Linked DNA regions of Ovis aries. The protein of the gene in region 6 interacts with the protein of the main gene of each other region in a pairwise test. Links are inferred from orthologs where the notes say so. Each region holds a gene or a part of one and is shown on either strand. Other genes may lie near its edges.

Region 1 (3,500 bases), on a different chromosome or scaffold from region 6:
AACAGCACCATCTTAAGGAAAGTTTCACGGAAGAGCTAAATAACAGTTTTGGGATACACTCTTCCCATCAGCTCTTGAAAGGCCCAATTTAAAGGTAGGCCTTTCATGAGACCCAACTTTTCTCCTTGTTAGAGCCTGAAAGTACCTCATTTAATCTCAAAGCCATTTCCACTTCACCCTCCTTGTCCAATGAGAAGAGTTGATATTTCAGTATTGCACCAAAAGACTTTCACATGAACCTTTCCTTATGTATCTTAGGAATGCACTGGTTTTCTAAGGAGCTTGATTATTAAAACTTGAAATGCTAAAGCAATGATATTTTATGACTTTGAAGCAATCTAAGAAGTAATTAATAATCTCCATTGACTCCTATCTAGAAAGCTACATGGGCTGGAAAACAACATAATAAGCAAATATTTCCTGCTGATTAGATAGACTGATTTTGGTGGGAGAAGAATAAGGAATCCTTATTTAAAAATTTTTTTAAAGTTTTAAAATTTTACTGGTATCTACTTCCCTGGTGGCTCAGACGGTAAAGCGTCTCTCTACAATGTGGGAGACCTGGGTTCGATCCCTGGGTTGGTAAGATCCTCTGGAGAAGGAAATGGCAATCCACTCCAGTACTATTGCCTGGAAAATCCCATGGACAGAGGAGCCTGGTAGGCTACAGTCCATGGGGTCGCAAAGAGTCAGACACGACTGAGCGACTTCACTAAACTAAACAGCAAAAGGCAGGAATTTACCTGCAGTGGAGATACTTAAGGTTTGCTAAACAGCATCTGAAAAAGCTAGATTACTTTTTGATACAAACTTCTTTAATATCAGGAAATAATTTAACATACCACATATCATTGGAGTAATAAATGTCATCAATTCTCCCATTTCCTTTCCTGCTGTCTCTCTATTAAGGAATTATCACTAGTGCTAATCCAAATAATTTGGAAGCAGTCCTTTTCATTTTATACAGGGTTAACAGACAGCTGTTTTGACTTTGGTTTTTATATAAAGAACAAAGATCATGGCATTACAAATAATGGTTAGATAATTAACATCTTTTGGGTCAGATTTAGTCACTTTCTGTCCGCTGAGAAGGAAGTGAATTAAACTTAAATCAGCCAAACATGAGTTAATGTAAAGCTCTTTGCAGAGCTTGGTTTTCTCATAAACAAAATCTCTCAGCTATGAAAAATTATATCTAAGTGATTTGAGGGACCTAAATAGTCTAGTCTAGTATAGATCACTCTCTCTTTCAGTTCCTCAATTCTGCTGTTACATCATTTCCTCCTGAGAGCTGAGGCCAAAAGGGAACAGTTGCTGCCATTTCTGAAATCCTGTTGCCAATGCTTTCCTCTGCTGCTGCTGCTAAGTCACTTCAGTTGTGTCTGACTCTGTGCAACTCTATAGATGGCAGCCCACCAAGCTCCCCCGTCTCTGGGATTCTCAGGCAAGAACACTGGAATGGGTTGCCATTTCCTTCTCCAATGCATGAAAGTGAAAAGTGAAAGTGAAGTTGCTCAGTCATGTCCTACTCTTAGCGACCCCATGGACTGCAGCCCACCAGGCTCCTCCGTCCATGGGATTTTCCAGGCCAGAGTACTGGAGTGGGGTGCCATCACCTTCTCTGAATGCTTTCCTCTATTTGGTTTTATATTCTTCAGAGGGAAAAAGCAAATGAGAAAGCTGACCATTGGTAAGTAGAAGTAACATTCCAGGACTAGGAAAATGGGAGGTTATTCCAGTCTCTTTTCACTTCTTACCATGAAGAAGGCACCCCGGTGATAATACTTCTGTAGGAACTTATATTTGCCCTTAACAGCTTTGTTGGTAATGACTTTGCCATTTGCCCGAAGCTCAGCTCGCCTCTCTTCCTCAGTTAGGTTTCTCATTCGTTCAATTTCTGCTTTCTCCTTCTCAAGTCTGTTCAGAGAATGAAAACTATTTATTAGTTTCATTTTAGTTTCATAAAGACCCAGTTATCTGAATATGACACAGTCCCACCTCCTTTCAAGCATTATTTATCTTCACAGATTCTAGTTACTATCTGTTAGGAATTAAGATCAGAAGTTTAATAAATAAAAAGGTCAGGTAGTCTTCATTACACTCACAAGACCAGGTACTGCAAACTTCTGAAAGTTGATTCTAGTTTTTTTGAGGTTCAGACATACTACTACTGCTTGATTTTTATAACATTACGAATTTCCCTTCCCTGAAGAGCCTTCTTTGTTTAAAAAAAATCAATTTAATTCTGTATAAGACTTGACTGGTATTTTTTAAATAATGTGCTTACATACCACAAACCAAGGGTCACCATCATTAACTAGACTGCAGCAGTTTCAACCTTTTTTAGGGGTGGAGAGTCATAGGTCCCTTTTCTTCAAAAAAAAAAAAAAAAAAAAAAAAGGCATCCCTAGTAGTTTTTAGGAATGGGTGGTACAGCTCCAAGATGATTTTGGTCTAACTGAGTGTGGTAGAGGAACTGCAGAGCAACCTCCAAAATTGTGAGAAATAAATAATTGTTTTAAGTCACTTACTTTTGGGTTGGGTTGTTACGCAACAACAGAAAACTGATTACAGCAAGTAACCAGTTTGTGTCAACTAGGAAACTACTAAAGGGAGTATCACCTGCACTCTTATCACGGAGAAACACTGACAAAATGTGTTTCTCTTCCCTGATTCTGTTATAATAAGCCACATTCCACTCACGGGGAACACACCTAGCTCTAGGAACCCTAAAGAAAGCTAGAATGGAACCCACAGTAGGTGCAGAGCCTAAGAGCTACCCTACTAGGAATATGACCACCCAGTGGTATTAAGCTCTAAGCTCATCCCATTACTCACGCTTCTCTGTCTTCTCTGTCCCTCTTGATTCTCTTTAACTCCCGAACTTTCCAGGCCTCATATTCCTCCTCATCATTTTCATCATCAGTATTGAGTGCATCCAGGGCAGCCAGAGACCGCTTGTTCTCCTCCAGCTCTTTCTTGGTTTCCTCCTCTACAATCTGGATAGGGAGAACAATTCAACTGTTGGACTTCCTCATTCTCCCTCAGACAGACCGAAACACACAACTCCTCACACTCAATCCTCACAGCCACGCCCAGCACCTTGAGTGTGTACTTGCGTCTCTCCTCAGCCATGTGTTTGGCCTCCTGCTCCAGCTCCTTCTGTTTCAATGCTTCAGCCTCACGTTCTTGAACTGTCACCCGGTCCTTCCTGCAGCACAGAGGTCCTGTTAATTGCCCAAAGTCCTGAGAGTAGTGCTCCTTGTTCCCTAAATCAAGTCTCATTCAAACCAGACAAAGCCAAATGGTCTCTGGCTCTGTTATTTGCAAAGAGCTAAAAGTGGGAATCATTTCCGGTCTTTAGAACATCAAAATTCCATCATCTTTGAACTGCCTGAATATCAAGAAACCTGCTGGACTGTAGGATTTCTAGCCATTAGGAAAGGAATAGGAATTTGCTCTTAAGTTTGATTTTGTATTTAAAATAATATAAGACCTTG
Region 2 (3,500 bases), on a different chromosome or scaffold from region 6:
GTTGCTTTTCCTCTGGTTACGAGGCATCTCAGAGCCAACTTGTGTTCCTGTCGAACTACTGTCCTTTATAAGGCAAGAACCGAGAGAGTCCATACATCTCTCTCTTGCCTTGACCTTAGATTTTAACTTATATTTACTATAAATGTAACATGTATGATTTATAATACTATTTATATATTTACCTTATATAAAGTTTCAACTTATTACAATATTTTCCTAGGTCTTTGTTTTCCATTTTTCAGGCTACTTAATCACGTATATGTGTCAGTAGGCTCATATCCTAAGAAATCAAGTGGGATATTTAAAAATAACATTTGGGCATATGAGGAATTCCTGTGGAGGCAAGTCAAGGTTGAGAACAGAATTCCCTGGTGGTCCAGAGCTTAGGACTTGGTGCTTTCACTGACTGGGGCCCAGGTTGGGGCCCAGGTTTGAGCCCAGGTTTGATCCCAGGTTTGATCCTTGGTTGCGAAATTAAGATCCCAAAGGCCATGCAGCATGCCCGGGTGGGGGGTTGGGGGAAGGACAACAAATGTTCGAGGGAGTCTGAAAGCTCAGAATGTGGAGTGGATGGACTGTAAGCTACTGTCCGAACAGGGGGTGCTTAGGCAGGGGCCATGGGCTGGAGATCACCACCTCCTGCCCCATCTCTCTTTACAACAGCTAAAGGGGAGGGGCCTGAGGACGCCTTGAGTCCTGAGACCCTACAGCAAGGAAGAGGGGCCTGCAAGGCCAAAACTCTTTCTACAATAACGCTAAGGTGTCACCTGTCTTTTGTTACTTCTGCTACTTGTCTTTTCTCTGGTGACTCTACGTGGACTTTTACCCAAGTAGGATGTTCCCATCACAGAGGCTATCGTGACAGACTGGATACAGAAGCAGGTGTGAGAATACCTGTCCTCCAGGAAGCAGCATTTTAGGGATTTGCAAAGTGTCGAAATGCCACCCATCCCACAAAATACTTTTTGAAAATGTATTTTTCATTAAAAATGCTATTTATGGGACTTTCCTGGTGGTCCAGTGATTAAGAATCCACGTTCCAGTGCAGGGACCGTGAATTTGATCCCTAATCAGGGAACAAAGATCCCTCATGCAAAGTGGGGCAGCCAAACCTGCGTGCCTCAACTACAGAGCCCAGGCACTCTGCAGCCCTCACGCCAAGAAGAAAGATTCCACACGCCGCAACTAAGACCCAAGGCAGCCATAAATAAATGAATAAATCTACTTCTTAAATATGCTATTTGTGTTAACATGTTTCTTACTGTCATTTTAAATGAATTAAATAGTTTTAGTTTTTCTGCTTGAGTTTCTCATAAGGTAAATATCAACTGATATAACCCATATAAACAAAAGCTCTTTGGGGGTCTTCAACAAATTTTACGAGTGTAAAGGTAACCTGCTACCAAAAAAAGCTTGAGGATCGCTGTTTCACAACAAACTTTCTTACAAACTCCCTTTACAGTCTTTGGACTGTTAATATGAATAATTCAGTTCTAACATGCCTTACGATGCAGGCTGATTCTTTGGTTTAAGGAAATTCTGCTGGTCAGTGGGTGAAATTCTTTACATTTCATGAATTTCAGGTTGCTGGGGTTTTTTTGGTTCTTTTTTTCCGGCTGTGCTGTGAGGCTTGCAGGATCTTAGTTCCCTGTTCAGGGACAGAACATGGGCCCCCTGCAGTGGAAGTGCAGATTCCTAACAACTGGACCCCCAGGGAATTCCCATCTTTTCTCTTTAAAAACAAACAAACAAAACAAACAGACGAAGCACTCCTCAGTCAATTGCTTTCATTGGCTTGTGTTTCATATTCATTCACTGAATACTTACTGAGTGCCTACTATCTGCCTGGCATAGTTCTAGAGGCTGGGGATACAACAGAGAACAAAGCAAACAGGAATTCCAGCCGTTAGGAGCCTACTTTCCACTGTTTCACAGCTGAGCTAAAGGCTAAAAGGATATGCCAAAAGGATAAATAATTAGTCATGGTTCTCCGCATGTCACAAAAAGCATGGTGCTGAGTTTCCCGAGTTAAGGGATGCGGCTTTCCTTTGGTCAGAAGTGAGATTATTCCAGGGGGCACGCAGACGTGGCATCAGACAGCTTTGTATCATACACAGTGAGAACGTTAACTCCTTTTCAGTTTCCTTTCAATTCAAAGAGAAAAATCGCAGAATGGTACTAACAAGACTGACACTGTCGGCCCCTTGCTGATTCCCGCCCCTGTAGATGTTCTCTTTTCCCCAAGGATGGGCCCGTCACAGGCCTTCAGCATCTCATGAGAACTTTATAAGACTTGTGCAGCAGCTAATGAATTCAGTAATGGGTTCCTCTACTGACCTGTTGATGGGGCCAACAGAACCTTAGCACTAATGCAATGGTTCTCTAAATGTGGAACCCAGACCAGCACTATCACCCGGAAATTTGCGGAAAATGAAAATTCATGGTTTCTCATTTCAGATCTCCCGAGTCCAACACTGTGGGGCTGGGTCTAGCAACAAGCTCGAGTCCCCAGGCGACTCTGAAAACTTGAGAACCACTGCTTTTAGCCTTCGCGCCTCCCCTCAACTCACGGAGAACCATCAAGGCGACTTCCAGCCTGCCTGCCAGGCACTTGGGCTCCTCGTACCATGTCCAGCTGTTTGTGCGTGTCCTCCAGAGACACGAAGGTCGCCTCCTTCAGCTGTTTGCTCACGATCTGGAAGAGGTTCAGCGTTGCCATCTTAATGGTGCCAAGCAAGAGGGTCTTCTTGGCAGCGGTGTTCTGAATGTGCGCCCAGCGAGATTCCTGGGGAGGGGAATGAGGGCAGGGTGTGAGTGCTAAGGGTGGGTGTGTATGTGTTGTGTGCATCCCTTACCCGTGTTTGTGTGTGTGTCCTGGTGTGTGTCCCTTACCGGTGAGTGCTGAGGGGTGTGTGTGCTGGTGTGTGTGTCCCTTACCGGTGAGTGCTGAGGTGTGTGTGTGTGTATCCCTTCCGCAGCTGCCTGTGTCTGTGTGTGTCTGTGTGGCCCCCACCCGCCCTGCACTCACCCAGATGATGACGTCACTGCGGGCACGGTCAAAGCGCATCTGCAGACGCGCCAGCTCGTTGTTGTGCTGCAGGATCTCGTCGTCCTTCTCCTCTTTGTAGCGTGCCAGCCGCGCCTTGGCACGCTCAATCTTCTCCTGGCCTTCCTGTGCCGACTGCATGAGGTCGTGGTGCATGCTCACCAGTGTCTTGTAGCGCGCGATCACCTCGTGGATCTCCTCAAACTGCACGAGGGCCGGGGGAGGGGGGGCGGCGCGGGAGGGGTAGTTGGGGGGGGTTTGGTGGCTCAGGTCAGTGCACCTCCGCCCGGGGGGGCGCCGACCCCACTCTGTGCCCCCAGCTCCCCCTGCGCCTCTGCCTGGCAGGGAGGCCCTGGGCTAAGTCAAGGGCCAGAGGCTGTAAAGCCCTCGGAGTCTCCGCTGCGCCCACCCCCACCCCGAGTTGGTACGGGCCGTGGGTCACGTGGCGTGGGTC
Region 3 (3,500 bases), on a different chromosome or scaffold from region 6:
GTGGTCACCCAGAACACCCAGGCCACGCAGGGCAGTCACTCGGGCTACCAGCCCTGTGTCACAAACGCTGCTGGCCACAACCTGCCAAGAAAGCCCTTCGGGCTCTAATCCTAGTCAGCGTCCCTGGACCACTGCAGGAACCCAGGGGCTACCTTGCTGAGCTGGAACAGAGCCTTCAGAGCAGCTGCATCCTCCACAAACTCCTCCTTCACGTCAGCATCAAAGGTGAGGTAGGCCAGGCCCTCCACTGCCCAGCGCCGCGTGCCCACGTCCATCTGGTCATTGCACAGCCACCTGGGGGCGTGCAGGGCACTGATGACTACCAGAATGGGCAGGGGGTGGCGGGGGGTGGTCGGAGGGGTGCCCCAGGAACCAGGGGGATAAAGCCAGCGGCTTGGGCATCCCCACCACATACGGAAGCAGTTCATGTGGAGGGTCTGCCTGGGGAGGACAGGGCAGTGAGGATTCCCCTCTTCTCTTGAGGTCTGGCCAGCAGGCAGAGAGCCACAGCCATGCTAAACCACTCACTTTCGACACTGCTTGGCCAGCTTGAGAGTGGAGCCTTCGGCAAACTGCTTCATGCTAAAGTCGGTCCCTCCGGCTGAGCCAAGCTTACAGAGCCCCTGCAAGAGAGGGTGAGAACCAGCTGTTGGCCAAGGGACGGAGGCATGGCAGGGCTCCCTGCCAGCTCTCTGCCAGGCTCCCTGGGGGCCAGGCACACCCCCACCAGGCTACCAGCTGGGCTGTGCTAAGTTGCTTCAGTCGTGTCCGACCCTTTGCGACCCTATGGACTGCAGCCTGCCAGGCTCCTCCATCCATGGGATTCTCCAAGCAAGAATACTGGAGTGGGTTGCCACGCTCTCCTCCAGGGGATCTTCCCAACCCAGGGACTGAACCCACGTATCTTACGTCTCCTGCACTGGCAGGCGGATTCTTTACCACTAGTGCCACCTGGGAAGCCCACAAAACCAGCTGCTAGGGTGGCCGTGTGATAGCATCTGGGAGAGACTGACATGCTGACCACATGCTGGCCTGGCCTCCACCCCACTGCCCGACGTGCACCGGACTTGCTCTGTCCCTTCCCACCTCACGCCAAGGGAGCCCTTGACGGGCAGACCTAAGATACGTGTGGGGAGAAGACAGGCGCCTCAGCCAAGGCCAGGACCCCCATGGGAGGGAGAAACCCAGGACAAGGTGCCCCGAAGAGGAGGATCGGCTTCCTCCAGGGGCAGGGCTGCAACAGGCGCACAGGGGTCAGGTGTTCCCTAGACCACCGGCTCTGGGGCCTGCCTGGCAGCCCAGCCTGTTCACACAGACCCCAGGCCTGCCTGGCCTAGTGTGTCCTCCAACTCCTCCCAGAGCCACTCCCACCGCCCACAGTGGGCAGCCCAGGCTGCCCCGCATTCTTAGAAGTCCTCTCTGTCCAAGCCTCTCCTCCTCCTCCTCCTCCCCAGGAGGAGCCAGGGCCCTGCTCCGGCCTTGACAAGGCCCTGAAAGTGAAAGTCGCTCAGTCATGTCCAACTCTTTGCGACTCCATGGACTATAGCCTGCCAGGCTCCTCTGTCCATGGGATTCTCCAAGCAAGAATACTAGAGTGGGTTGCCATTCCCTTCTCCATGGGACCTTCTCAACCCAGGGATAGAACCCAGATCTCCCACATTGCAGGCAGATTTTTTACTGTCTTGAGCGATCAGGGAGGCCCTTCAACAAGGCCCTGCACATCCTCCATTTTCACCAAGCGTGTGCTGAGGCTGCACTCTGAGACGGGCCAGCTGGGGCCCCCTGTCTGGCTGCCTGCTGGCTCAGCCCAAGCCTGCCCATCTCACCACCAGTGCCCGGATGCGGATGCTGTCCTTCTCGCTGCGCTTGTACAGGTCTTTCAGCAGCGAGACGCCATTGGCTGTGATGAACGAGGCTCGCTTGGCCTTGCCGGCTGCATGGATCAGGGCCTCCACGGCCACCAGCTGCTCCTCCTCCTGCTCCGAGGCGCACAGGGCGATCACGCTCTCCATGACGCCGTTCAGCTCCAGGGCCCGGTTGCCAGCATCACATGGGCCCTGCAGGAGGCAGGACACTGTCTGGATGGCCCGCAGCTTCCCGGCCAGCCCGTGGCCCTCAAACCAGCTCCTGCGGGGTACAGGGTGGCAGCTATCACATCACAGTCAGCACAGAGAGACTGCCCTTCCCTCCGCCTCCTCCACTGGCCAGGCATCTACAGGATGTGGGCAACAACAGCAAGAAAAGCTGCCAGCGGGAAGACCAGGACACCAACCCTCTGGACAGCAGCCACCGGGGTTCTTCATCCGGGCTCTCATTCGAGCCCCACCCCCAGCCCCGATGACCTGCCATCTAACGCAGGTCGCTGTCATTCACGCCACCCTGTCTGCACCCTGTGGTCACTGAGGTCCGAACTTGGGCCACTCACCCCGTGACTTGTCATCCATCAGTCTGCTCCTAGCTGTGAGCCCTTAAGGGTGAGGACTGTGAAGCAGCACTGATGTGTCAAGATGGACACACAGCATGTGCTCGGTGCACACTACGTGCTGGAGGACACCAGCTGCACTAAGACAGCTTGAGCTTGTGCGTATTCAGTCGTGTCCAACTCTTTGTGACCCCATGGACTGTATCCCGCCAGGCTCCGCTGTGCATGGGATTCTCCAGACAAGAATACTGGAGTGGGCTGCCATTCCCTATTCCAGGAGATCTGCCGGACCCAGGGATTGAAGCCGTGTCTCTTTCATCTCTTGCACTGGCAGGCAGATTCTTTAGCTATGAGCCAGCTGCACTGGATGAGAACTGACATAACAAAGAATATCCTTGGGGACCTCCCTGGGGGTCCAGTAATTAAGACTGTGCTTCCACAGCAGGGGGAATGGGTTTGAGCCCTGGTCGGGGAACAGATCTGATATGCTAAGTAGTGTATAAATAAGAAGGAACGTCCCTGCAGAGAGACTCTGAAACAACAAGTGGCCCTTGGGACCATTCTGACTCTCACAAGTCCTCCCCAAGGCCGTTTCTCTGATGGGAAACCTTTCACTGTTGTCTCTCCCCAAATAGTCAGCACTCTCGAAGGAGCCCTGGCTACAGGAGGGCTCCCTTACTTGATGTAGTTTTCACAGAGTCGGTGGAAATTCTCCCTCTCGGCATCACACTTCAGGTCATCGAAGAGTTTGCTGAGCAGAATGGAGGCGCTCATGCGGCTGTTTGCTGTCACTGTGAGCTCCCCAGGAGGGTCTTGCACAGAGCCCCCCACCTCCAGGATCTTCTTCAGACCTGAAAAGACACCCTATTCAGACAGCTCCAACCCCGATGGGCAAAGGGAAGAGGTGTCCGCTCGCACGAGCTCACAAAGTACAGACAGGCTCACAGAATTGGGCTGGCGGAGTCGCTGTCTACCGGGGGGCAGGTCTGGGGTCAGCAAAGGACCTCAGAACTTAAGGCCTGTGGGCTGGCCCTGCCTGTGGAGCCAGATGCTCTGGAGCATAGAGGTTCCTGACAGC
Region 4 (3,500 bases), on a different chromosome or scaffold from region 6:
CATATATGTGACAACTAGAGAATAATTCAAGCCAGAATAACTTTGAGTAGGACAAAAAGTGTATGTCTAAGAAGGATAAAGAAGGACAAGATTGATGTGGGCTGGAGAAGCTGAGAGAAAGAAATGTTTGTTTTTGTAAGATAAGAAATGGGAAAAATCAGAACATGGAGGAGAGAGAGGGACCTTTCTGGTGACATTAACAACAAAGCAAAAATTTGGTGCTAGGAGTGAATATCAAGTTTATAGAGTCTATATTTTTTCTTTAAAGTATTCCTGAATTTAAAGTACTACTGAATGCCAGTTTTGTCTTGTTTTTAAAGGCAAAGGAATAAATAACCTTATCTCATTGAGGAGTTTCTAGCAATGATTGGGTTGACGGAATTAAACAAAACAAAATCTATAAACTAGTTAAACCCTTTTCTTCCAAGTCTAGTCCATTACTGAATCTTTAAAAAAATATTTATTTCGGCCACATTACATGGCTTGTGGGATCTCAATTCCCCAGTCATGGACGGAACCCATGTACCCTACTGAGGAAGTGTGGAATCCTAACCAATGGACCACCAGGGAATTCTCCACATTACTTCATCTATTTCACTTAAACATAGCCTGATTTGTAGAGCTGGTCCAGACATTGGCTAAGTATCTGGTGTTCTGTTTACCTAAAAATTATTAAAAATTTTTACTTCTATAGCTATTATATATATATAATATATAAATTATATACATATTTTTTTCAAAATATAATTTATGTACATACTGCCTAAATTTAAAAAATATGACTACTCTTCTACTCCTTTCAGGTTTCTCCTATGTGATTCTAAGAAAGTATACAAGTTACATAATTTTCACCCTAACACAATCATACAGAAAGTTTACTTACTATAGGTTTAAAAGCCAGTTAAGTGAAAATGTTTGCTTCAAAATTTCATTTCCTACTCTTTCTTTATTGGCCACAGAAGAATAAAGGCAGTAAAATTTTGCATTCTTTATTACTTTCCTATAAAAGTGGGGAAGGCTTAATTGTGAGATTAATATATTACCAACTTATATGAATGCTGATTATTCCATAATAGCTACATGATATGACCTGAAGGTTCCTGGAAAGATTCCCTCTGCTTTCTGTTCCAGGAACATAATAGTCCTAAGAGTGAATTCATTGTCTTGGGATAAAATGTAATATTCCATAATTTTTTTTGTCAAAATATTAAGACTGTTATGCCATTCATAGTTATTATGAATTTATACACAAGGATCGAGTCCTCCTCATCACCTCCACTAGAGTGAGATAAGCATAGGTCCCCAAGGAATGGAACACAGCATGGCTTGTTCTGAGAAACTGGAAATGGTGGTTTTAGAGATGGGGTTGCTTTAGACACCTGATGACATAAGGGGTTTCAGTAAGACATTAGGAAAGAGAGGGATAAGAGGAAAGAATGCTAAATGGATAGCTGGGAGAGCTGTAAAGCAAATTTAGTGCTAAGTCACTTCAGTCGTGTCCAACTCTGTGTGACCCCATAGACGGCAGCCCACCAGGCTCCCCCGTCCCTGGGATTCTCCAGGCAGGAGTACTGGAGTGGGGTGCCATTTCCTTCTCCAATGCATGAAAGTGAAAAGTGAAAGTGAAGTTGCTCAGTCGTGTCCAACCCTCAACGACCCCATGGACCGCAGCCTACCAGGCTCCACCGTCCATGGGATTTTCCAGGCAGGGGTACTGGAGTGGGGTGCCATTGCCTTCTCCAATATATACGTGTGTGTGTGTGTGTATATATATACACATACATACATACATATATATATATATATATATATATATACACACACACATACATACATACATACATATATATATGTAATTTACTTAAAAAAAATCAGATCCCTGAAAATTTAGGTCCTCCTAATTTTTAGCTATGGTCAACAAAGCAGCTGCATTTTGCAGACACTGACTGAGCAACCTGGGTCTGTGGGGCACCGTAGGGTGCTGCCAAGTGGCGCTAGTGGTAAAGAACCTGCCTGCCCATGCAGGAGATGTAAGAGACTGCAGGTTCAATCCCTTTGCCAGGAAGATCCCCTGGAGAAGGGCATGGCAACCCACTCCAGTATTTAGCCTACCTCTTAATTTTCCCAAAGTTACTTCTGAATACATAACTAAACTTTCTCTTTTTTTTTCTCCCTTTGGCTGTGCCGTGTGGCTTGTAGGATCTTAGCTCTCCAGCCAAGGACTGAACCTGGGCCCCAGCAATGAAAGCATAGAGCTCTAACCATTGGACAGCCAGAGAATTCCCTATAACTAAATTTCTTTGTTCCCTTTTCTTTATATTATGTTGAGAATTATGTAGCAGACTATGTTATTTCAATGTACAGATGACTCTATTTTATGATAAGTCTGTGATTCCTATCTATCATCTTTTCACTAAGCCACACATACAGGCCTCAATTTTGGAAGGTCTAGAGAAACGTAATATTGAATCCAGATATATTATCTTTTTATTAAAATTTTTTACTAAAACTTTCTTACGCTATCTTGATGCTGCATTAGTTTGGAAATTTGTTCTCCTTTAATTTCCATTTTCTTGACTAAACGCTCTAGTTCACATTCTATATCTTCACAGACTGATTGGCTTTCAGTTTCTTTCATTTGATTCAGCAGGTCCTGGTACTCCCTATGAAAGAAAAGCAAGTATCAAGCACTATTACAGTTAATAGTATACAAACTATATATATATATATAAAATATATATATATAAACTATATATTAATCTTTGTCACAATTAAACAATACTCTGCTCAATCATAAATTTTAACCAGAGTTAAATATTAACCTTCAAAGACAGCTTCTTTTTGTAGAGTTATCAAATTAAATCTACGGTAATTATAAACAGGCTCTTATGATTTGAGATTAGATATATTTAGAAATCTCTCAGACTTAGGCTCTCAAAGAATCTTAAAAAATGTCTGAATTCTTAGTGTTCATAGTTAAATGTAGTAAAATATTCTGATGTCCTTAGCTAGAGGCATTAAGGGACTCTTTTTCATTCCAAGTTTGGAATTCTTAATGTAGAATCTTTGGAAGAATTCCAGCTATAGAAGTATTTGCCTGAGAAATTCCTAGATTTGGTGAATGCCTGCTCAAAAAAACTACTGCTAATAGAACTAGTTATATCTTCTACAGAGGTCATAGTTCAACTAGTTGGCCACCCAAGTCACATATTTTCAGGAATATTTTTTGAAAAGCTATTTAAACTTGAAACTTAAAATATGTATCCCATACAGAATCTTTGAAGCATATGGATGCTTCAAACATGCAATGCAGACCGGCCAGAATGGAAAATAAGAAATTGCATTCTTATTTGTCTAATGAAATAATTCACTTAGCTGAAAAGATTATAAAAAGCAGAAGGAGAATCTATCTTGGAAAAGCATTTGTGAATTATAATTTAAGGTCACCAGATGCCATTTGTTAGAATGACAGAAATATTTGTCTATCAGTTCAGATCTTG
Region 5 (3,950 bases), on a different chromosome or scaffold from region 6:
AGTGTCTGGGAAATGCCCGTGGCCTGCCAAAGAGGTCACTGAATCCCTCCAGCTGGGGGCACAGTGCAAAGAGCCAGGCAAGCGGAGCTTCAAGTCCTGATGCTGCCACATACATGAGCTGCGTGACCTTGGGCAAGCTCTCTGACTTTGGGGGTCATTTTCCTCCTCCATATAATGGGAGCAGCAGTATCTTCACCTTGCAGAATTGTAGTAAAGTTTGAGATACTGCAGAGGTCTAACAGTACCTACTAAATATAGGAACTCAGAGACACTCAGTAAATGATAGAAGTGACTGTTTCTGTTATCTTGTGCCCTTTTTTCACAGGCATCATTCTTGGGACTGGAACCCAGGCTAAGGCTCCTCGCATGGCCAGAGGCCCTGGCCCCACGGCCAGGACCGGCCATGCCAGGGAGCCTGGTACAGGAGATGCTACTAGTCGGGATGCTGATTAAATTCCCTGATCCAGGAGCCTCAGCGTCCTGGTCCAGGGCAGGAGGGCTAGCCACATTGAGCACAGTCTGCTTGGATCCCTACTTAAGCTATTTTTTCAAGACCTTTTCAAGGTCTTGCCCCCTTGCCCCACCTTCCTCTGGCCCCTTTTCTCTGGGTCCCGGTCAGAGAAGGGAGACAAGCAGTGTGGGTATCCCCTCCTTCCCTCATTCACCGGGAAGGCGACAGGAGCGGGCAGAGGCCGTTTTCCTTGCAGAAGATGCGGCTGACACAAGCCCCGAACACTTCCATGGGGCTGTAGCCCCCTGTTTTGTTTTGTTTTTGTTTTTTCTTTTGGCGAAACTGGGTTTCCAATCCCAACCTGCCTCTTCCTCCATCCTTCATCCGGACAGCTCGCGAACTGTTTTGCTGGAAAGTGCAATTAAGGGGCACTTCGTGTTTTGTCTGCCCCCTTCCAGCGTCCGCCTGGTCAAAAGAACAAACCAGAATAAAGGAAGCCGGGATTCAACTGTCGTTATTTTTTTTTAAAAGGGGAGAGAGGCGGGGGTCACATGACGGCGAGTCACCGATTTGGCGAAGGGGCTGCCCCTCGGGGCTTGCTGCAGAGCCGCCCGGCCCCCAAACCCCGGGCGGGGGCGCTGACGTCACGGCAGAGCCCGGGCCGCGCGCGTATAAACCGCGGGGCGCGGGCGCGGGCGCACCCGGCGCAGTCACCCCGCGATCGGCCGCCCGCATCGCGGCGCGCGTCCGCTCTCAGCCGCACCCCCGGTAAGGCGAGCAGCCCGCGGCGGGGAGCGGGGTCCTCCGGAGAGGCGCGGGGGGCAGGACTGGGGGAAGGGGTGGGCGTCCGCAGCCCGCGGAGAACTTTCCAAGTGGGGAAAAGAACCTTCCGGACCTGCTGTCCGGCGCGGTGGTCTTTCGATCGGGGGTCGGGGGGGTGAGGGGTGTTGCAGAGTTTAAGGGGCGAAGGATGCCATTCGGCGGTGGCGGGTTGCTTTCGTGCAGTTCAGTTGGAGGGTCATCTCCTCCTCCAGACTGTGGTCGGAGGACAGCCGTCAGGGATACTTCAGGCACTGGTTGTTTGAAGAGTCGGCCTACCGGAGGCGCTGCTTGTAAGATTAAAAAAAAACAAACCTACAAACCGATCGGTCATCAGGGTCATCGAGGTGAGGGTCGCGGCTAGGGTCATCGACGTGTTGGGGTTCTGGGGAGTGCGTGCGGGAAGGGGAGGGTCTCTCGCTCACCGGTGCATCTTGCTGCTGAAAATGAGATTGCTTCTGCTTTCTGTCTGAGAGTCTGGGAGTCCAGACCACCGGGCAAGGGGAGGCAGTCTTGAGAAAGGCCAAGCTGTAGCCACGTTGTTGAATGTCTTTCTGGAGGGAGTCTTGGACCTGATTGGCTTCAGGAAGGTGGAAATCCGAGCTGATGGAAAGGAACTCTTGGAGTGGACAGAGTTTAAAAAGAGTGAAGCACTGTCTCTGCAAGTTTGACAGCTCTGAACGTGAGCAGGTCCTCTCCCTGCCAGAAGGACAAGGCAGAGGGATGGGTTAAATGTGATATCTGTGGGCAGGGGGCAGAAGTGAGGCATATACCTATTGCAGAAATTCTTCTCCCCCTCAAATAAGAGCATATTCAGGCATCAGGGCAACTTTACTAAACATGGAAGTTCCAATCAGCCCTGGTCCAATCCAGCCGGGGGGGATGATGTCATTGTCACGTGTTCCCCACTGAGGCATAAAAGCCTGCTGGGTGCTGCTGCTACTTAAGTGCCATGTTTAGACATCAGCGGCTAACCTGGCCAGCTGGTCCCCAGCTGCATTAACTTGTTGCTTTTCAAGCCTTCTCTAGAGGCTCTTCGTGCCTTCTGGCTGCCTCTGTGCCCGCTCTGAGTGGGGAATCCCCAGGCTTCCTTGAGGATGGAGGAAGCCCCAGGGCAGTGGGCGATATTAACGGTACCTTTTCCTCTTTGCAAATGACAGTCTCCCTGAGGAGCTGCTGTGTGTGTGTGTGTGTGTGTGTGTGTGTGTGTGTGTGTGTGTGTGTGTGTTCAGTTGAAAGCCTGTTGGGTTTGGGGACTGCTTCACTGGTGTTCCTTGTGTGAGGGTTACTTGGTAACCTCACATACTAAAATATCACTGATGACTGTGTTCGAGCTCCCTGAACTCATGCTTCCTGATGCTACCATCTTGGCTGCTTTGCCTTCCAGGACCTGACGATGACTCTGAACCATGTCACCATGCGCCAGGGCACGGCGGGCGTGCAGCCGCAGCAGCAGCGCTGGAGCATCCCTGCCGATGGCAGGCATCTCATGGTCCAGAAGGAGCCCCCGCAGTACGGCCAGCGCAGCCGTCCCCCCACCGCCCCCGAGGACCCCTGCCGCCGGAGCTGGTCCTCCGACTCCACGGACTCAGTCATCTCCTCCGAGTCCGGGAACACCTACTACCGGGTGGTTCTCATCGGGGAGCAGGGGGTGGGCAAGTCCACTCTGGCCAACATCTTTGCGGGTGTCCATGACAGCATGGACAGCGACTGCGAAGTGCTTGGAGGTAGGTGGCCCGGCTCCGGAGGGCTTTACGGGACAGCAGTGGTCCAGCAGGAAGAGTGAGTGGGTGGGTCATTTGTCTGCAGAGTTGGGAAGTGCGATTATGCCTTCTTGGCTCTGCCTGGGGAGCCGAGTCCCCACAGACGTGCTGGCATAGGCCTCTGGGACAAGAAAGTGAAAATGCTTATAGATAGAAGCTGGGCCAGAGAAGGAATTTCTTACATTCCAGCTCTAAAGGGACCAGGGAGACGGTTTACGGAGGGTGGAGCCGGAGGGTCAGGATCCCACCTCTGGCTTTTGCCAGTTCTGACCTGGACCTTTCAAGCACTCAGTGTAGAGACAGCCTTTTTCCATGGTGATACTTAAAACCAAGCCAATTAGAAAACTGTTAAGATGAATTCATTAGTTTGTTCATTGCAGTATTAGAGGCTTTAGAGGGTATAAAATTGTTTAAAATCTCTATTTTCAATAGCACAATATTTAAAAAAGATATTGAAAGTTAGCAATGATGATACTTAACGTTTGTAAGTATACTTACGGTTTTTCAATTTTCCATGGATAATCTCATTTAAGGTATTTATTATTTAGGCCTTGGTTTCCAAAACTGATCTGAGATGATACAGTCTCAAAAAAATCACATATTCCTCAAGTAAAGCATAGCACTGTATTCTGGGAAGTAAAATGAGGCTCCTGTAGTCGATGGTTTAAATTCAGTGTCTTTCAGCCACAGGATCTTAGACAATGCCAGGGTCACTGTATGTCCCTGTTTGCAGTTGTGGAAATGAAGTAAGTGTGCTTGTCCCAGTGACATGGTCTGTCTGAACGCTCAGTTGCAACTCACTGCTGAATCACAGATTTCAGGAGTAGGAAGATGCTTTAGTGATGACACAGTTCTGCCCTCTGCTTGATGCACAGAAATCCTACTCCTTCCTCACTGCTGTCAGCCCATTTCTACTA
Region 6 (3,500 bases):
ACCTGAACAAACACCCAGGAACGCAGCTACCAGGGCCAAGTGGCTTAGATTGGAGCTGCACGAGGCAAGTGTTTCTTTTAGAGTTGGACCCCAAATGTCCTCTCACCTCCCCACCCCGCCATGTGGCCCTAAATTGTCACAAGATGGGAAAAGGAAGCCTTTCAGGAGGGTTTCATCAGAAAAACTCCTCTCACACAGGTCTGTGAAGTCAGACACAGAAGTACAAACACAAGATAAAAAGAAAATACTAATTTGCAGCTATGCAGATGGAACCTTAGTGTGCAAGTTGGTTCCAATAATTTTGCTTTTACTTCCATTTTCTCCAGCAGGTTGAGGGGAACTTGCAGCTTGAGTTAAGGTCCTATGTCTTGTTCCAATTCATCAGAAGATAAAACCATAACATGTGAGCTAAATGACTGCTTTCAGAACATCTTTTATTTGGTGGCTCGCTGATGCATTTTTATATTTGGTATATTTTTTGGAGGAAACGGAGAAGGGATAGAGGGAAGAGTGACAGAGGCAGGAGGCTTGTCACTATTCACTGATACAAATGGGTACAGTAAAGGAAGTGGTAGTCTTTGAATGTAATGTTTTTTACCATGATAATGAAGTGGAAGAACAATCAAGAAGAGAGATGTTCACACACATAGAATCAGCAATGATTGTGACTTAACTACTCAGGAACGAATTCTGAGCTGTGTTCTGATTTCAGAGAGTGGAGTGACATGGATTAACTCAAGAAAGGCTAAGGATTACATAAACAAATGGGAGTGGCCCCAGTGACTGCCCAGCAAGGAAATACACAACTTGCTTGTTACCCATCAGTAAGGTCTTTGCAATGTGCTGGGGGAGCTTGCACTGTCTACACAACACTATACTAAACAACCTAACATGTCTTACAAACACTTGCCTCGTGGCGCCCCGGCCAATCTTGAGCAGCTTACTGCTTCCTTACATTTCCTTATCTCTGGCCACAGGCCCCAACTACACCATGACTTACTGATGAAGTTAGCCTGGCCAGTGAATATGGTGTACTGAAGCTCATAGGAGCTGATGCTGAACTCATCATCTGAGATCCAGTGGACCGTAATGGTGTCATGGGAGGCAGTACAGAGTTCCTCTCGGATAGATGGTGGGTTGGGGGCTGTAACGAAAGGTGGAAAAGAAGGTAAGGAAAACATACTCTCTGTTCTGGCATCTTATAATTGTTACTCTTGCTAACCAACCCAACATCTGGAAAGGAGGTTTTCTTGAAAAGAAGCTTTAGATTGCACGTACCACACAACCTGAAGTCAAGTGCTGAGACCTCAAGTTCCCCTAACCACTTTTGCTTCAATGATATAGGGATTTTAGGCAAAGATCTAAGCCTAAATTACCCAGTAGACCCATTGTCTACTTGGCCTGCACTAACACATACGTAGCTATAAGAGCTACGTAGTCATGTGTTTCCTTATTATATGGCCTTCAATCTATTTTCTTTTTATTTCAAAATAAGTTGTATTATATATTTTGGCAGTATTAATAGGGATTAGTTGTGCAAATTAATATGAGTTTCCTCATCTGCAAAATGGGGATGATAATTACCTCACAGATTCCTTGTAAGGATCATGATGTAAAATTAATATATAGTGTCTGGCTTAAAGGAGATGCTCCATCAATGACACCTATTTTAATATAGTAACAATGATAGCTACAAACACGAAGCTATTATGTGTGTATATTTCCTCATGAAATGATCATTCAAACATCCTGAAGGCAGTCAGTATTTTTAACAGACAGGTTGTTGCCCTCATTTTCTAAAATTCTCTCTGCAAGTCAGATATTTCTTACATTTTTCTTCCTATTCCGCTAATTCTTAAATTTCCTTACAAGCATTTGGGTGGTACCTGTACTCATGTGAGAAATTCTCTAATATTCTTTAATTACTACCCGAGTTCTACCCTTATAACAGGTGACGTTATATTACTGACAGGCTTGTAAGGAGAAAACCACCAGCAACTTCTTGTTTTTTACCTTTAAGTAGGGATGGTGTGTATACCCATTCTGTCCTTGGAAATATTTGACAAATCATTTCTATTTTCTGTTACATGAATTAAAATATATTCTATCTAAAAAGATATATGTATCATTTTAAAGATTATAAAGGCATCTTTATAATATTGTCCTTTTCAGATTATTTTAAAGTAAAAGCCTACCAAAAGAAAAGAACTAAAATGGAAAGGAAAGCACAGTATTTTCACACCTGTTAAATAATCTAGCCCCTCCAGCAGTTTCTTTTCTCTGGAAAAATCTAAAGCAAAGTTTTCAAAGGCATCATTAAAATTGATGTCTGGAATCAGAACTTGAGAAGATGCAGTTGCCATAGCGACCCTGAAAGAGAGAAAAGTGCATCAACATACATCAAAATAGATTTGCAACCTTTATCCAATGTTTGATTTCTGGTTTAACAAGGTGAAGATAAATGACTGGTAGGACTTGATTAAAATGAAAAATATCATATCTGTCCTTTTCCAATGGAAACCATTTAAATTTTAATCATCAGGAACCAATTAAGGGTTATACCATATTTATTCACATATGTTCACTCCTCAAACACACTCCCCCATCCTGTCTTAATTTGGAGAAGTAAATACAGGATTTTTTTCCCTCTGCATCATTTTCCATCTGGCAGGCAGCATCAAAACTAGACCTCTGAAAGCTTGGTGACAGCAGTTTGAGAGATTTTTTTCTCCCCCCCCCCTATTTTTTTTTTAATGTTAATCAACAATCCAGCATGCTAGGGCTTGGTTAAAATCTTCCCCTAAATATTATAGTTTGTTTGATCTTTGATAACATTTACATTTAATTTTATTGCTCTCTAGTTATATAATGCTATGCTAGTTTTAGCTCCCTAACTAATTGTAAGAGTCTCAAAAGCAGGATCTGCATTTTATACCATGGTCCCTAACACAGTGTTGGACACATAGTGAATAAATAATTGTTGAATGACTAACAACACCACCACAAAGGTCACTTTTATCAGGCATTCAGTATGTATAAGACACCAGGCATGCACTTTACACACATTATCTAAGTTACTCCTTTCCATAACCCTGTGTAGCAAATGTTATTTCCATTTTGTAAATGAGACATAGTAAGGTTAAGGAACTTGCTCAAGGTCATACCAGGGTCAGAAAAAAAGAAATATAACTGAACCCATGTTCATTGGATTCTAAACTCTATACCCTTAACCATGTAGACAGTTACTTTAAAAAAAAATTAAAGGTATATTTTTACAATTGTCAAAAATTATTCCACATCAGAATTATCTCTGAGCTTTGATTGAAATATACATATTTAGGCCCTGTGCCTGACTTGAATCAGAGCCAATGAGAATTCTTGAGCATGCAAATAACAGTATGGAAAGAAACATTAACTTGGCAACAATATGCACCTTAGAGTGGAGAGAAGAGGCACTGAATGTAGGACGACCAGAGAGGAAACTTGTATGGTGAACTAGT
Region 7 (3,500 bases), on a different chromosome or scaffold from region 6:
GCCCTGCCCCGAAGCCCCTGCATTAGCTCAGACGTAGGTTCAGCTACTGAACAGAAGGGTGACGTGACAAGGAAGTGTATTTTCCTCCCGTGGGAAAGTCTGGATGAGGAGCCCAGGCTGTCTGTGTCTCACTGATTTGTCGCCTGTTTCATGGTACAAAGTGACTGCCCACCTCCAGCCATCACCTCCACATCCCCATCAGCAAAAACAATCAGGAGAGAGGAGGAGGGCACATTTTTTCACTTAAAAGAGTGACCTGGAAGTTGCCTGTGTGACTTGCCCTCACGCCTTATGGACCAGAACTGATCCACACAGCCACACCCTGCAGTAGGGGCAGCCTTTGTGCTGTGTGTCTGTGAGCCCGGCTGCCACAAGGGGCTCCCTCACTGCAGGACGAAGGGCAGATGGGTGCTGGGGGAGCCAGCGGTGTCTGCCTGCCCCTCATCGGGCTCCTGCCCGCCCTGTGCCCCCAGACATCATCCATAAGTTCATCCGGGATAAGTACTCAAAGCGATTCCCCGAGCTGGAGTCCCTGGTCCCCAACGCCCTGGACTACATCCGCACCGTCAAGGTGAGCACAGAGGATGGGCCCCCAGCCACCACGCCTGTTGAGAGCACCCTGCTCTTGGACCCTCCAGGGGGTCACTCAGCTCTGGGCCAGAGGCAGGATGGGAACAGGGAGCAGAGATTGGGGGAAGCCAAGACCCCGAGGTGGCAACAGGCCCTGGAGCGTTCAGGGAGAGGGAGGAGGCGAGTGTAAGAGGTCATCAGGTCAATCTGGCCTCCGAGGCTCCGGGTCTGAGGGGCAGGCCCCACGGGAGGGGCAGGCCCCACGGGAGGGGCAGGCACGTGAAGGCGGGACACCACCCAGCACCCAGGCTCCTGGAGAGTCGAGCAGATGGGGGTGGGGAGGAGACGCGGTCAGACCTGCACCGCGAGTGGACGCGGGCTGCAGGCCTGTGGGGGCAGCCCGTCCTCTGCAGGTGGACCGTCTGCTTCTGGGCAAGCCCCCTCCCGGGGCAGACTGCGGATGCTTTGAGCCTCGGGCTTGTAGGAACTGGGGGCAGACGGGGCGGCCGCTGTCCCTGCAGGAGAGGTTCTAGACCCTCCTGAGTCCCCGGGCCTCCGCCTCATCCCCCTCATGCCCCTCATCCCCCTCATCCCCCTCATGCCCCCCCTCCCGCAGGAGCTGGGCAACAGCCTGGACAAATGCAAGAACAACGAGAACCTGCAGCAGATCCTGACCAACGCCACCATCATGGTCGTCAGCGTCACCGCCTCCACCACCCAGGGGTGCGTGCCCGGCGGGCCCAGCCGGCGGCCGTCGGTCGTGGGGCCCCGCGGCACGGGCGTAGTGTCAGGAGGACGGGTTGCTGCGCTGCCACGTGTTCGCCGAGCACCTCCTGCAGGCCAGGCTCTGGGCCCCGGGTCCCCGGCGTTGGGAAGCCAGCCTCCTCCCAGAGCCTGTGGTCCTCAGGGGTGCAGCGGAGGGCAGGCCTGTAATTAGAAGTGGCGTCCCCTAAGGAGGGGCACACGGGGTCTCCCCCTGCCCCTCAACGTCTGTGGTGGGCCTGCGAGAAGGGCAGAGGCGTGTCACCCCACAGCAGGGCTCTGACTGGACAAGCCGTGAATGGGCAGGGTCGACGGCAGCTGGTGGGAGCAGCTGGATGGCGGCCTCGCTGGTTGGCAAGGCCGAGACCTGCAAGGTCTGGGGAGCTGGGGGGAGCGTTTCAGAAAGATGGAACACCTGCAAAGAGCCCGGCTGCAGGCCGGGCAGAGAAGGGAAAGCGGCGAGGACGCGCCACCACGGGCAGCGGGCTGGCGGAGCTAGTAATCGTCCCGAAGGTGCACGCGCACGCAGGCGCACATGGCGGGGAGGTTGGGGCCCCTCACCACTCAGGACCCGCGGCAGCACGGGTCGTTCAGTCCGCCCCCGCCGTGCCCCGCCCCAGCTGTGTCCCCACCCTGCCTGCAGACAGCAGCTGTCGGAGGAGGAGCTGGAGCGGCTGGAGGAGGCCTGCGACATGGCGCTGGAGCTGAACGCCTCCAAGCACCGCATCTACGAGTACGTGGAGTCGCGGATGTCCTTCATCGCCCCCAACCTCTCCATCATCATCGGGGCCTCCACCGCCGCCAAGATCATGGGTGAGGCCCGGCCCCGCGCCCGTGGCTTCGCGGAGGCCTGTCCCTTTCCTGTGAATCGGGGCGTGTTCTGCACGTCCTGGGGCCCAGCACGCGGCCCCCATACCCACCTGCTCGTCTGTCCGGAGATCGCGGACCAGCGTGGCGGCCGGCAGAGCTGGGGCCCGGCAGCTGCAGGGGCGGCGGGGCGTGGCCGGTGGGGAGGCCGGGGACCCGGGGCCGCCTGGTGATGGGTCAGCTCTCTGCGCCCCAGGGTTCCCCGCAAGATGGGGGCGCTCGTCCTGGCAGCGTGATGGGGAAGAGTGAGTCCCTTCCTCCTCGGGGCGCGCCCCGCCACCTCCCCCAGGCACCTGGTCCCTTCAGCCGAGGAACGCTTGCGGGCACGTGTGTGATAGACCAGCGAGCGAGTCAGTCACCGCAGGCGCGGCTTCGAGGGCGAGATCCGTCCTCGGGATAGGGCGGCACTGGGCGTCGGGGGCGGGGTGCCTCTGCGGCCTCTCCGCAGGGGGGTGGCCCCTGCCCGCGGGTCCTCTCCTGGTCATCCCGGGTCCCGGTCTCCCCTCCCATCGGGGCACCTGTTCTCCTGGTTGGGGGTCCAGCCTGGGGGCGTCGTCTCACCTGGCTCACCCCTGCAAAGGCCCTGTCTCCAGATTCTAAGATGGTGGGGGCTTAGGACTTCAGCGAGTGAATCTGTGGGGAACACAGTTCTGCCCGTGAGGCAGGGGTGTGCAGGGTTGCAGGAAGGATGAACTCCTGCTTCTCCCACTCCCCGCCACCTCTGACCTCACGTCTTTGGGCAAACCGTGTCACGCGCCTTGGTTTCCACCCTGGAGACCAGGAGGGTGTTGCCCGCACCCGCAGACACGCTCTTGGAACCCAGAGGTGGCTCACACCCGGGCCGCTGGTGTGGTGACCAACCCCTGAAGCACAGGCAGGCCCACGTGGCTTCCCAGACGAGGGGTCAGGTTTCTCGTGGGCCAGGGGCTCACTGTGCAGCCTCCGGCACGTCCCTTTGCCTCTCGGAGCCCCTCTGAATCCCCCCCGAGATGGGACATGTTGACGCTCCCTGGCGGGCCCCCCTCAGGCCTGCGGCTGGAAACTCCTGTGAAGGGGCAGCGCTCGGCGGACCACCCCCCGCCACCTCGCTGATGTCTGCCCCCTCCTGCTGCAGGGGTGGCTGGCGGCCTGACCAACCTCTCCAAGATGCCTGCCTGCAACATCATGCTGCTTGGGGCGCAGCGCAAGACCCTGTCGGGCTTCTCGTCCACCTCGGTGCTGCCCCACACCGGCTACATCTACCACAGCGACATCGTGCAGTCCCTGCCCCCAGTGAGTGCCCCCCGGGTCCCCGGGTCACT

What was found.
Region 1: the proteins of MID2 (region 6) and MFAP1 interact in binary tests that used the Homo sapiens proteins (3 or more experiments, as listed by UniProt). The two-hybrid records come from large-scale screens. The link is inferred for Ovis aries from reciprocal best matches to the Homo sapiens genes MID2 and MFAP1.
Region 2: the proteins of MID2 (region 6) and CCDC42 interact in binary tests that used the Homo sapiens proteins (3 or more experiments, as listed by UniProt). The two-hybrid records come from large-scale screens. The link is inferred for Ovis aries from reciprocal best matches to the Homo sapiens genes MID2 and CCDC42.
Region 3: the proteins of MID2 (region 6) and UNC45A interact in binary tests that used the Homo sapiens proteins (3 or more experiments, as listed by UniProt). The two-hybrid records come from large-scale screens. The link is inferred for Ovis aries from reciprocal best matches to the Homo sapiens genes MID2 and UNC45A.
Region 4: the proteins of MID2 (region 6) and CEP57L1 interact in binary tests that used the Homo sapiens proteins (3 or more experiments, as listed by UniProt). The two-hybrid records come from large-scale screens. The link is inferred for Ovis aries from reciprocal best matches to the Homo sapiens genes MID2 and CEP57L1.
Region 5: the proteins of MID2 (region 6) and GEM interact in binary tests that used the Homo sapiens proteins (3 or more experiments, as listed by UniProt). The link is inferred for Ovis aries from reciprocal best matches to the Homo sapiens genes MID2 and GEM.
Region 7: the proteins of MID2 (region 6) and PRPF31 interact in binary tests that used the Homo sapiens proteins (3 or more experiments, as listed by UniProt). The two-hybrid records come from large-scale screens. The link is inferred for Ovis aries from reciprocal best matches to the Homo sapiens genes MID2 and PRPF31.

The regions. Positions count from the first base shown.
Region 1 is NC_056071.1:53,258,122-53,261,621, forward strand, and holds part of MFAP1 (microfibrillar-associated protein 1), read right to left. Parts: intron 3,212-3,500; coding exon 3,103-3,211; intron 3,000-3,102; coding exon 2,839-2,999; intron 1,918-2,838; coding exon 1,758-1,917; intron 1-1,757. UniProt on the Homo sapiens protein: Involved in pre-mRNA splicing as a component of the spliceosome.
Region 2 is NC_056064.1:28,079,578-28,083,077, forward strand, and holds part of CCDC42 (coiled-coil domain-containing protein 42), read right to left. Parts: intron 3,251-3,500; coding exon 3,029-3,250; intron 2,786-3,028; coding exon 2,627-2,785; intron 1-2,626. UniProt on the Homo sapiens protein: Essential for male fertility. Required for sperm development.
Region 3 is NC_056071.1:21,032,091-21,035,590, forward strand, and holds part of UNC45A (protein unc-45 homolog A), read right to left. Parts: intron 3,274-3,500; coding exon 3,102-3,273; intron 2,128-3,101; coding exon 1,827-2,127; intron 624-1,826; coding exon 529-623; intron 295-528; coding exon 153-294; intron 1-152.
Region 4 is NC_056061.1:28,286,775-28,290,274, forward strand, and holds part of CEP57L1 (centrosomal protein CEP57L1), read right to left. Parts: intron 2,664-3,500; coding exon 2,519-2,663; intron 1-2,518. UniProt on the Homo sapiens protein: Centrosomal protein which may be required for microtubule attachment to centrosomes.
Region 5 is NC_056062.1:82,966,316-82,970,265, forward strand, and holds the start of GEM (GTP-binding protein GEM), read left to right. Parts: upstream 1-1,150; 5' UTR 1,151-2,367; coding exon 2,368-2,403; intron 2,404-2,657; coding exon 2,658-2,997; intron 2,998-3,950. UniProt on the Homo sapiens protein: Could be a regulatory protein, possibly participating in receptor-mediated signal transduction at the plasma membrane. Has guanine nucleotide-binding activity but undetectable intrinsic GTPase activity.
Region 6 is NC_056080.1:127,335,799-127,339,298, forward strand, and holds part of MID2 (probable E3 ubiquitin-protein ligase MID2), read right to left. Parts: intron 2,371-3,500; coding exon 2,243-2,370; intron 1,145-2,242; coding exon 911-1,144; intron 1-910. UniProt on the Homo sapiens protein: E3 ubiquitin ligase that plays a role in microtubule stabilization. Mediates the 'Lys-48'-linked polyubiquitination of LRRK2 to drive its localization to microtubules and its proteasomal degradation in neurons.
Region 7 is NC_056067.1:64,008,904-64,012,403, reverse strand, and holds part of PRPF31 (U4/U6 small nuclear ribonucleoprotein Prp31), read left to right. Parts: intron 1-473; coding exon 474-571; intron 572-1,186; coding exon 1,187-1,293; intron 1,294-1,975; coding exon 1,976-2,145; intron 2,146-3,313; coding exon 3,314-3,471; intron 3,472-3,500. UniProt on the Homo sapiens protein: Involved in pre-mRNA splicing as component of the spliceosome. Required for the assembly of the U4/U5/U6 tri-snRNP complex, one of the building blocks of the spliceosome.